3 linked regions of the Oryctolagus cuniculus genome follow. The protein of the gene in region 2 purifies or fractionates together with the protein of the main gene of each other region. This does not show direct contact. Links are inferred from orthologs where the notes say so. Each region holds a gene or a part of one and is shown on either strand. Other genes may lie near its edges.

What was found. Proteins that work in one complex are often made in the same cells at the same time.
Region 1: the proteins of PRPF19 (region 2) and PRPF3 fractionate together in Homo sapiens (co-fractionation; 3 studies listed by BioGRID, with this or other methods). This does not show direct contact. The link is inferred for Oryctolagus cuniculus from reciprocal best matches to the Homo sapiens genes PRPF19 and PRPF3.
Region 3: the proteins of PRPF19 (region 2) and KNSTRN purify together in Homo sapiens (affinity purification with mass spectrometry; 4 studies listed by BioGRID and IntAct, counting the BioPlex papers as one, with this or other methods). This does not show direct contact. The link is inferred for Oryctolagus cuniculus from reciprocal best matches to the Homo sapiens genes PRPF19 and KNSTRN.

Annotation. Positions count from the first base shown.
Region 1 is NC_091438.1:47,647,425-47,651,026, forward strand, and holds part of PRPF3 (U4/U6 small nuclear ribonucleoprotein Prp3), read right to left. Parts: intron 3,551-3,602; coding exon 3,404-3,550; intron 701-3,403; coding exon 617-700; intron 444-616; coding exon 223-443; intron 1-222. UniProt on the Homo sapiens protein: Plays a role in pre-mRNA splicing as component of the U4/U6-U5 tri-snRNP complex that is involved in spliceosome assembly, and as component of the precatalytic spliceosome (spliceosome B complex).
Region 2 is NC_091432.1:11,685,737-11,689,862, reverse strand, and holds the start of PRPF19 (pre-mRNA-processing factor 19), read right to left. Parts: upstream 2,807-4,126; 5' UTR 2,584-2,806; coding exon 2,565-2,583; intron 854-2,564; coding exon 704-853; intron 595-703; coding exon 518-594; intron 1-517. UniProt on the Homo sapiens protein: Ubiquitin-protein ligase which is a core component of several complexes mainly involved pre-mRNA splicing and DNA repair. Required for pre-mRNA splicing as component of the spliceosome.
Region 3 is NC_091443.1:63,572,804-63,576,405, reverse strand, and holds part of KNSTRN (small kinetochore-associated protein), read right to left. Parts: intron 2,817-3,602; coding exon 2,711-2,816; intron 2,485-2,710; coding exon 2,391-2,484; intron 1,814-2,390; coding exon of another isoform or gene 1,740-1,813; exon of another isoform or gene 1,678-1,739; intron 479-1,677; exon of another isoform or gene 373-478; intron 227-372; coding exon 171-226; intron 1-170. UniProt on the Homo sapiens protein: Essential component of the mitotic spindle required for faithful chromosome segregation and progression into anaphase.

The DNA of each region.
Region 1 (3,602 bases), on a different chromosome or scaffold from region 2:
CTACTCCTACCTCCAATACTAGATGAATAATCTTAATCTCAGTTCTTTCAATTATATAAGGAAAACAAGAGAAGAAGTTCAACTGATACTTATCATTCATATATAAGAAAAAGGACATTATAAATAGGATTTAGATTCTTTGGAATAAGAGGATCAGTAACACTCCAAGGTATTTATTACTTCTCCGGCTTTAGAATGAAAAGGATTCCAGGAGATACTCACGGGGGAGCAATGCCCATGGCATGGAGATTAGCCAGGCCCACCATGTTAGCATTGCCAATGAGACCTGGCTTAAGTGCCAGCTGGGCTTGGATTCGAGCTTGTAGTTCAGCTGCTTTCCTTGCCTTCTCAATGGCATCATTCATGAAAGTGGCAGCCTGGGAGGGCTGAATAGTGTTGCCAATTGGAAGTCGCTCTGGTTGGGAGGAAGAAGGAGTCTTTGGCTGTGAGACAGAGAAAAAGCAATCAGAGGGACTGAGACAAGCAGACAGTTACACACAACACACATCATGGGTGGCAGACTGGGGTAGATGACCACGGAGTGAAACGTGAGCTCCTTCTGAACTGGCAAGAAACTCTGTGTTAAAGATTCTTCTTCTTAATCAGGGCACAGTACCTGAGGTGTAGGGGGGCTAATAAAGCTCAGCTGTTTTTTTCTTTCTTCGATTTGTCTTGTCGCTGCCTCCATCATCTGTTTGATCTGTTCTCCAGGGGAAAAAGAATTAAAAAAACATTAATTTCTCCCAAGCAGGCTCCAAAGCCCATAAAGCTTTCAAATCTAGAAACTTAAAACTTTCTGAGTGACTCCACCCTATTTTGCCTGCATCACAGATTAGAAAATTTAGTAAAGATAATCTTAAATAGCTGAGCATTATAGATGTTCAACCCATTTTCCTAAGGCAAGACTGGCATGTTAGGTAGTAATATAGCTTTGTGATTAAGACTCTGCATGAGGGAGGGGAGAGAGGGAGGTGCTGGCCCTGTGGCACAGTGAGTTAAGCTGCTGCCTGCAGCACAACATCCCATATGGGCACTCACCGGCTCTACTTCCAATCTAGCTCCCTGCTTATGTGCCTGGGAGAGCAGTGGAGGATGGCCCAAGTGCTTGGACCCTTGCACCCATGTGAGAAACCGGGAAGAAGCTCTTGGTTCCTGGCTTTGGCCTGGCCCAGCCCCGGCTGTTGCAGCTATTTGGGGATTGAACCAGCAGATTAAAGCTGTCTTTTCTTTTCTCTCTGTTACTCTGCCTTTCAAATTAAAAAAAAAAAAAAAAAAAAAAGACTCTGCAAGGCCACTGTTGCAGCACAGCAGGTTAAGCTGTCATCTGCAATGCCAGCATCCTATACCTCAGTGCTGGAAAAACAGCTGGAGTCCCAGCTACTCTGCTTCTGAGTCAACTCCCTGCTAATGTGCCTGGGAAAGCAGTAGAAGATGGCCCAAGTGCTTGGGTCCCTGCCATCCATGTGGGAGACCTGGATGGAATTCCAGGCTCCTGGAACACAGATGATGGTGCAAAGAGCTGTCCCTCAGTGTCTCAATAAACCCCTTCTTCTGTCCTAAAGAAGTTCAGAATGATAAACTTTGAGGGTATGGGCTAATAACTCTTTTCACATTTTCTAAAAACCTACTCTCAAGGTACTTCAAGGTCTTTTTTAAATTTTGTTTTTAACTTTTTTTATTAGGTGATATACTTATATATGAGGTGGCTTCAAGAAGTTAGTAGAAAATGGAATTAAGGGGCCAGCAATGTGTGGCATAGTAGGTAAAGCCTCCACCTGCAGTGCTGGCATCCCATATGGGTGCTGATTCAAGTCCCACTGCTCCTCTTCTGATCCAGCTCTCCGCTGTGGCCTGGGAAAGCAATAGAAGATGGACCAAGTGCTTGAGCCCCTGCACCCATGTGGGAGACCTGGAAGAAACTCCTGGCTCCGGATCAGCGCAGCTCTGGCCATTGTGGCCATTTGGGGAGTGAACCAGTGTATGGAAGACTTTTCTCTCTGTCTCTCCCTCTCTCCGTCTATAACTCTACCTCTCAAATAAATAAAATCTTAAAAAGAAAATGGAATTAAAAGGTAAGTTTGTTTAGGTGCAAAAACACTTTTGAAATCCATGCTCAAGATTTTTTTTTCATAATACGAAGTTTCAATGAACTTTCTGAAGACAATTCACTGTTTAAAATTCGAAGTTACAAAAGGGTATATTGTGAATCCTCCCATCCCCATTCTCCATAAAACACATCATCAATTTCACTTTTTCCAGAAATATCACACATGAATACAAATCTATCCATCCGTGTGTATCTGTGTATTCTATTCCCTCCCTCAAAATTTTATTACATTTTTTTTGAAAGAGTTACACAGAGAGAGAGGGAGAGACAGAGACAGGTCTTCTATCCACTGTTTCACTCCCCAAGTGGCTGCAATGGCCAGGGCTGAGCAAGTCCAAAGCCGGGAGCCAGGACCTTTGTTCAGGTCTCCCGCGTAAGTGGCAAGGGCCCAAGCACTTGGGCTATCTTCTGCTACTTTTCCCAGGCCATTAGCAGGGAGCTGGATCAGAAGTGGCACAGCTGGGACATGAAGCAGTGCCCCTTCTGGGCAACAGCTTTACAACACTGGCCTCCCTCAAAATTTTAAATGGTACAAGAAATATTTATTGCTTATGTAGTATCAAAATTGTTCAACAGTGCCTATTTAAAAAACAGGTACTTCTTGCTGAAGAAATACAAACTCAATTTGACATTACTTACAGATTAATACCTTCTTTGAGTTATAGTTGGAAATTCTTCTCTACCATCAACCTTTTTTTTTTTTTTTTTTTTTGACAGGCAGAGTGGACAGTGAGAGAGACAGAGAGAAAAAGGTCTTCCTTTTTGCCGTTGGTTCACCCTCCAATGGCTGCTGTGGCTGGCGCACCATGCTGATCTGAAGCCAGGAGCCAGGTGCTTCTCCTGGTCTCCCATGGGGTGCAGGGCCCAAGCACCTGGACCATCCTCCACTGCCTTCACGGGCCACAGCAGAGAGCTGGCCTGGAAGAGGGGCAACCGGGACAGAATCCGGCGCCCCGACCAGGACTAGAACCCGGTGTGCCGGCGCCGCAAGGCGGAGGATTAGCCTAGTGAGCCACGGCGCCGGCCTAACCTGAGTTTTGAGAACTTAGTTTTCTCAATGACAAAATGAGGTAGATATATGCCACATATCTTGTTTGCCACACAGTAGGCAATTTCAATAACCCTTAACTAGAATATTCCTGGTTAAACCAAGGAATGCTAAAACATAAAGCAGCAAATAAAAATCCCCCAAGTGATAATCACTAATTTGAAACAAGATCACAGTAAATAGGAACCCATGCAACTTTTGCTTCTTCAACTTACAAACTCACTTTGCTCTAGGCCCTAGTTACCCACCTGGAGCTTGGTCAGCATGCCAGGGCTCTCTGATGGAGGCCCAGGGATCACCTCCGGCTCTTCTTCCACCTCCTCAAAGCGGGGTATTCGTCGCTTCTTTACTCCTGAGGATTCCTTGGAGATCTCAGAGTCATCACCAAACACCTCCTAAGGGAAGCCAAATGACAGAAGAGTTGTATCCCTCCCCATGGGCCAAAGG
Region 2 (4,126 bases):
GTGGCAGCCAGCTCTTTCCCATCACCATACTCTTTAATTTACTGGTCAGTCATGGACGTCACACTGTTGTCTCTCTAAAGGAGATAATGCTACTGCTGTGGATTGACCACCTTCATCGTGTGAGACAACGTGCCCATCCCAAGATGCACGCACGCATTCCTTCACTCGCTGGGATTTACCGAGTACCTACCATGTCCCAGACACTGCTCTCGGTGCTGGCAAAACACTGATGAAAAAAAGTACTCCCCTGATGTCACTAAGTGGACACTCTAGTTTTATTCTACGCCTCAGAAACTCTAAGCCAGGCACCAATCTATGTGATACAGTCAGGAAAATCAGGGCTCAGAGCAATAAATCCAGTCACACTGCTCATGAGCGAGAGAGAGAAGCGTGGGATCCAGGTTGTGTGACTTCACCACCAAGCTCCCCCTGTGCTGCCTTCCCCCACCCCACGTCCTAGTCCAGGGATATACTCTCTCTGAGTGGGGGAGACATCAGCTTTCTCCCAGGAACTTACCCACTCATCCTGCAAGGCTTTCAGGATGGCTGGGATGCTGGTGGCTGAGGGGGGCTTGGGCCGGATTGGGTGGGCAACTGCCAAGAGAGGAAAGTCAGGTGTGAAAACCTGTAACCCAGGCAACCCCCCTACCCCAACCTCAGGTTCTGAGCCAAGAGGCCCACACTGAGGCCGACCAACGGGTACCTTTGATGTCGATGAGCTGCTCCTCGGAGAGAGGCTGGTTGTTAATGGGGTCTGTACCATTCTCAGCAATGTACTTCTCTATGAGCCGCCGCTCGTAGACGTGATTAGAGACGGGGGACACGCACGGGTGTTCTGGCACTTCATTGGAGACTGCAGAGAAAGGCAGGCAGTAGGCTTGGGATGAAAGACAATCTGGGGCCGAGGGGATTCCTAACTGCCACCAGCCCAACAAGTCCCCACATCCACTCAACTCAGGGGAAGCACATGATGCCAAGGCAGCTTTAGGCTAGCCCCTAAATGTTCTCCAGCTACCTATGTGGCTTCTCCATTGGTCTCTCGAAAGCCTGGGTGGTCAAAAATTAACTACTACACAGCTCCTATGCACTGGGCACCCAGAATGCAGTCAATAAGCCCTGCCATCTCATTTTCAACAGGTAGTTGGGGACCCACACCAGAGAGTTACTCTCCACACCCTGGAGAGCGTGTGAAGCCATTCAGGCAGCTGCCATCCACCTCAGTCACAACCCTAACTGGATCAGGAGACACAGGGACTACACAGCAGCATGACAGACACCAGGGTACCAGAACCATTTACACGGTGCTCACTCCGTGCCGGCCAGGATGCTAAGCACTTCACACAGGTGCACCTGTCCCCCCAACAACCTCCAAGCAGTTCTCATACACATTCTTGCCCTGGGAGACAGTGCCCCCCTGAAGGGCAGTGAGCACAGCCCGTCTGGTACTTCAGTCCAACGCAGACGCCCTGCAGCACCCAACAAATCGGGTGGATGAGTGCAGGCTCGGGCCGGGGCTCAGGAGGGGGCACCTCCAGGTGTGGCAGTCCGGCATGGGCAACACTTTGGACTAACCAGAAGCAGGCTGAGGCTCAGTGTCTCTTGCCCCCTCTCTCTCTGCACCCCCAACCCAAGCGTGGTGGCAATGGAGGTATCGCTGAATTCCTTATCTATCCCAACACAGGCTCTCCAAGAGAAATACATGGATCACGGATGCGTCCTCTGGAATCTCATCACTCAGGGGAGACTGGCTCACGTCGGGAGAGGCCGAAGGTCTCCGGGCAGAGGAGGTCACTTAATCTCTTCAAGGCAGCTCTGCGACACTGTTCACTATGACTGCCTGGGCCTAGTCGTCTGCACCAGACAATAATCGGTCCGCTGTCAGTCTGGCCCCATCAACCAGCTCTCGCGGGCACTGGCTGTGCCCCTCCACAGGAGCCCCACTCCTCCCGAGCCCTACAGTCCCATTTGTACGCCTCCCGCAGGGAATTCCTGCGAGGACAAAACGAGATCGTGGGCTTGGAAGCGTGCTGTAAACCAATGTGTGTGCTCTTTTTATCAGTCATGCACAGCGCGCGGCTGGGAGCCGGACACCTGGCTTCCAGCCCCGTCGGCCTCTCGCTCCCTGCGTGACCTTCGCAAACTGCAGAGGCTCCAACTATCCGTGCGAGACCTCCGACGAGACCCAACGCAATGCTCTCAGTCTCGCAGACGGGGAAACTGAGGCCCAGCGTCTCGCGCCACATCGCAAGGCCGATCGAAGGCTGCTGCTGGACAAATCCTCAGGTTTCCTGGCTCCTACACCACGGCGGCTTCCCCTGCACCAGCTCCTCTGCCCAGGCCTGCCCAGTGGGCCCAAGTGACCCCTGCGACAATAAACCTGAGGTGATAAGTAAACTGCGCCAACACTGCGCCAAATACACGCCGCCGTAAGGGGCAGAGCACCCCGTGCTGACAGGCGGCCCGTTCCCGCCTCCGCCCGACCCCGGCGCCGCAGCGGCCTGCACACTAGCCCTCTCCTCTCTCCCGCCTCCTGCGACCTGAGATCGCCAGCGGCCAGTACTCACTAGAGCAGATCAGGGACATGGCGCCGACGCAGCGCTCTGAGGCGCCTTACTCAGGGCTCCGGGTCTACCTTCGGCGCCTCTGCGGGCTACTTCCGGTTCCCCCGCTGCTTCCGGACGCTCCGCGGTAAGCAGGGAGCTACCCCGCGGAGCGATGCCCGCGTAGCGTTTCACGTGGGAGTGTGGCCGGTCGCGCGCCTCAGCCTTCAGCACCTAACGGAAACTGCCCTTTCCCAGAATGCAACGGCACAGGAAAGAGCCCGCCCCGGGACAATCGGCTGTCTCCGGATTCACTCGGCTTCTTCCGTGAAGCCTTCAGGGGCGGGGCAAGCAGCGGAGAGGCGATCCGAAACTACACTTCCCATAGTGCAATGGGAACTTAAAGGGCTAGTCGTTCTGTACTGAGCTATTGGAATGCAGTCTTTCGAATCTCATGTAGATTTCTCGGGTCTGCCTTAGAAAGTCTGAAAGTGCCTCACGTAATTCTGAGGCAGGTGTTTTCTGGGCTGCCCTTTGAGAGACACTGCTGGCCGACCTGGTGAAGAAAGCACAGGGAGAGGAACACTGTCCAAGAAATTGAAGGCCCTACTCCTACCACAGTTTGCTCGGTGGTCTTAGACAAGTTGCCGGCTTCACCGCCCCTTCGTCCTTCTAGGTCCCTTGCAGTTCGGATAGTGTCTGGTTCTTCGTGGGGATCAGTAAAATGGGATATTCTCGAGATTCACGTAGGGAAGCAGACAAAGGTGTAGGACGGACAGGTGTGGTCAGCGAAGACTTCTGCGCTGGACTTCCGCAGGTGGGCATTGTCAGAGAAGAAGGAGAATGGAGTATTCTAGAAGGGGCAACAGCGTGAGCACAGGCTTGGGGAGAAGAATTAATGGCGGAGGGGGCAAGAGCGTGGACTCGACAGTCAAACTGTGCCCAAATGCCAGCTCCACACAGGTGGTCCACGGTACGGACTCTACGCCTCTGTTTCTTCGGCTGTAAATAGAGGAAGTGATAACCAGGGTATGTTTCTTTTCTTCCTGATTTTATATTTTTACTGAAAAGGGTATATTTAACATGAAGACCACAGAGGCTTCTGCTCTGCACCCTGACGGACCAGGTCAGATGGAAGCCCTTACGATGAGGCTGTTCATGTTGCCAAACCCAAACTGAATTGTTATCTGATCTTTCAAGCAGTTACTAAACCGAGATAACAGCTATGTTCCCTAAACAACCCAGTGTGGTCCCTAAACAGGGCAAGTTCCCTAAGCAGGCATAATGACGGTTCTGATAAGCTCTCTGCTTTAATCCTTACAAACAGTGACCTGAAGTCATCTGGTGCTGATGAATCCATCATTTTTTACCTTATTCAGTCTCCCTGTCCCCGCCCTCCAAGGAAAGTGGGTTACCAATTCACATTTTGTTCTTTCTGTTTTGTTTTCAACTCCATGAAGCCAACCTCCTCTGCCCAAACCCTTGGACACTTCCTTTGTTCTGTTGGTGGGAGTGTTGCCTGACTCTAATGGAAATCAAAGCCAATTAAGATCTTTAAGTGATATTATACTTTTGTCCTTAGACAG
Region 3 (3,602 bases), on a different chromosome or scaffold from region 2:
AAAGCTACCTCTAAAGTAAAATATGCTATATTGAGTACATGTCTGGTCGTTCTCTCCTATCGGGGACAATCAAAGATTACTTCTGAGGATTGCTGTGCACATGGGGGAGACTTTGAGACTCCCAGAGGCCCAGAATCCCTCGGCCTGACCCATTCACACCCAACCCTCACCATAGAGTCTGTGTGATCCGTGGCGGGGGTCTGCTGTGGCACCAGGGTCTCACCGCCTAAAACCAATGGGTATGACAGTCAGCCTCATTTAGCACACTTACTTTAAACAAAAGAAAGCAGAGGCCCCACCAGGGACAGAAGGGCTTTTATTCATGAGGGAAATTAAGTGTCCAGTCCTAGACGTTCTCTCCCGCGTTCTCACCCTGGTAGGGTCACCCACGCCATTCACAGCTGCTGCACTTCCCCCGTGTCTCTAGATTTCAGTATGCCAAAAAAATCACTCTACTCTCCTTATCCCAGCTGAAAATCTGTACAAAGAAAATGTAGTTTTTTGTTTACAGTATAAAAACTACCTTTAAAAAATATTATGATCTATTTATTTGCAATGAGACAGAGAAACACACAGACAGAGCTCCAGAAATGCCCGCGATGGCTAGAGATGGGCTGGGCTGGGCCGGAGCAATCCAGGTCTCCCATGTGACTGGCAAGAACCCAATTACTTAAGCAAACCTGGGCATTCCGATGTGGGATACAGGTGTCTTAACTGCTGGGCTAAACCCTTACCCTACAAAACTGTTTTTAAAAGCCTTTCAAGCCTTAAAAAATTGTTGTTTTTCGTTAACAGTGTGTGCACACAGTTAACTTAAATCATCAAAATGTTTACAGTTACTGCAAAGAATATCCTAAACCTGTAACCCACAGGTTAATCACAGTCAGCATTTTTTATTATAAATTAAAAAAATACATTTATTTGAGAAGCAGAAAGAGTGAGACAGACAGAGCTCCCATCATTGGTCTAATCATTCCATGTCTCCCATGAGGTGACAGGAACCCAACTACATGAGCCATCACTGTTGTTTCCCAGGGTCTGCATTAGCAGGAAGCTGGAGTCAGAAGCCTGGGCCACAGCAGGCATCTTTTTTTTCTTTTTTTTTTTTTTTTTTTTTTTTTTTTTTTTTTTTTGACAGGCAGAGTGGACAGTGAGAGAGAGAGAGACAGAGAGAAAGGTCTTCCTTTTGCCGTTGGTTCACCCTCCAATGGCCGCCGCGGCCGGCGCGCTGCGGCCGGCGCACCGCGCTGATCCGATGGCAGGAGCCAGGATCCAGGTGCTTTTCCTGGTCTCCCATGGGGTGCAGGGCCCAAGCACCTGGGCCATCCTCCACTGCACTCCCTGGCCACAGCAGAGGGCTGGCCTGGAAGAGGGGCAACCGGGACAGAATCCGGCTCCCCGACCGGGACTAGAACCCGGTGTGCCGGCGCCGCTAGGCGGAGGATTAGCCTAGTGAGCCGCGGCGCCGGCCTACAGCAGGCATCTTAACTGTTGGGCTCAACATTCGCCTCAGACTTGGCATTCTTCAATTCCACGAGGCCTCAGCCCTTTTCTGGCCATTCTGTGGCTCCTCTTGCACTCTTTGGGCAACTCCTTTTTCCGGTCTCTTCTTTGCTAAACTCTGCTGTCCAGGGACAGGGTCAGAACTTGAGTCCCATGTCAACCACAGAATCTGCTGGATTCTGTGACTAGCTAGGTTCAGGACCCCTTGCAAAAGTATTCTCCTTTACCTCTTGCCATCAAGGAGTCACCAGCATGCTGTTATCTCCCATGAAAGGAGCAAAATATTTCTGGTCTGTTTGCAACTTTAAACCTGTTGGCACCAAATGAATGGCATAAAGAGTTTAGATAAGAAAGAGATAGGGGCCAGCACTTGGCACAGCACCTATTCCATATGGGTGCAGGTTCAATCCTGGCTGGTCCACTTCCAATCCAGCTTCTTGATGATGTGCCTGAGACAGTAGTAGAAGAAGACCCAAGTCCTTGGGCCCCTGCACCCACGTGGGAGACCTGGAAGAAACTCCTGGCTTCTTCATGGTCAGCTCTAGCCATTGTGGCCATTTGGGGAATGAACTGGCAGATGGAAGACCTTATCTCTCTGACTCTCCAACCCGCCCCCCCCCCCCCCCCCGCCAACCCCCGTAACTCTGCCTTTCAAATAAAGAAAAGAAAGAAGAGAAAGAAAGATGTTTCTGTCTTCAGTCATTTGAAATTCTGTCGGGCAGGCCAAATGAACACTGTATGGAAACAAACAGAAGCTCTCAAAGCACTTTAGTGCTTTGTCATGCAACCTTTGCCCTGCCTGGACCAGCTGATGCCACACTGCTAGTCAGCTCAGGAAGGTGGACCTGTGCTGTTCTCTTTGAAGGCAGCTGTGTGTGTTCTCTTACCTGGGTTAAGGCCCTTGCTCTCCAAAATTGCCAAACAGTTGTCCTGAAACTTCTCTAGAAGCTCTACCTTCTGGGTCAGGTCCTTCAGCTCTCCCTGTGGTGGTGGCGCACAGTCAGTCGGGAACCCTCCCAGACTCCACGAGTAGACAGCCTTCCTCCCCCTTGCTCCTGGACAGCGCCAGCACGAGCCTGGCTGCTTCTCTCTGTGCGGTCAGGCAGTCAGGCACTGCAAGCCTGCTCCTCCCCAGAGCGCCATCCCTCAAGACCGCACACGCAGTGCCCAGTGGCAGCTAGTGACAGAGGTGTGGTGGGCTTCTCACCTGAGTTTCTGTCAACTTCTGGTGCAACTGCTTGTTGACGGCCTCTAAGAGCTGGTTCTTGTCTTTGAGCTCTTCCTCTGATTTCTGCTTACCCAGTGGTTTATAACTGCAACAGGTGTATTTACATGGAGGGGGACTGAATGTACGCTATGGAGTTACACAAACAGGGTTCCCCACATCATAGTGGATGATCTACAGTGAGCTGCCCAACCTCCCTAAGGCTCTGTTTCCCCATTTCTAAAATAGGATAATATTCGCAGTTCATATTATTATAAGAGGGACTGGCGCTGTGGCATAGTGGGTAAAACTGCCACCTGCAGTGCCGGCATCCCATATGGGTGATGTTTTTGAGTCTGGGCTGCTCCACTTCCAATCCAGCTCTCTGCTATGGCCTGGGAAAGCAGTGGAAGACGGCCCAAGTCCTTGGGCCCCTGCACCCATGTGGGAGACCTGGAAGAAGCTCCTGGCTTCGGATCGGCCCAGCTCCTGCCGTTGTGGTCATTTGGGGAGTGAACCAGCGGATGGAAGACCTCTCTTTCTCTCTCTGCTTCTCCTTCTGTGTAACTCTGACTATCAAATAAATAAATCTTTAAAAAATAAGGGAGATAACATGAATGATCCAGAACCTGCCTACTGGTCCACAATGAATATTTCATAAGTAGCCATTACCATCATCAATATTCAAAACTTCTTTTTGAAATTCTCAGTCTCCCTTCCCCCTCCATATTTGTCAATTATTTATCAAAAGAAACTATTCCTCAGGCATGTAATATCATGTTTCACTGTTCAGGAACACAGGTCAGTGACAAACTTCTACAGAACTTAAACTCTTTCCAGGGCCGGCACCATGGCTCACTTGATTAATCCTCCGCCTGTGGCGCCAGCATCCCAT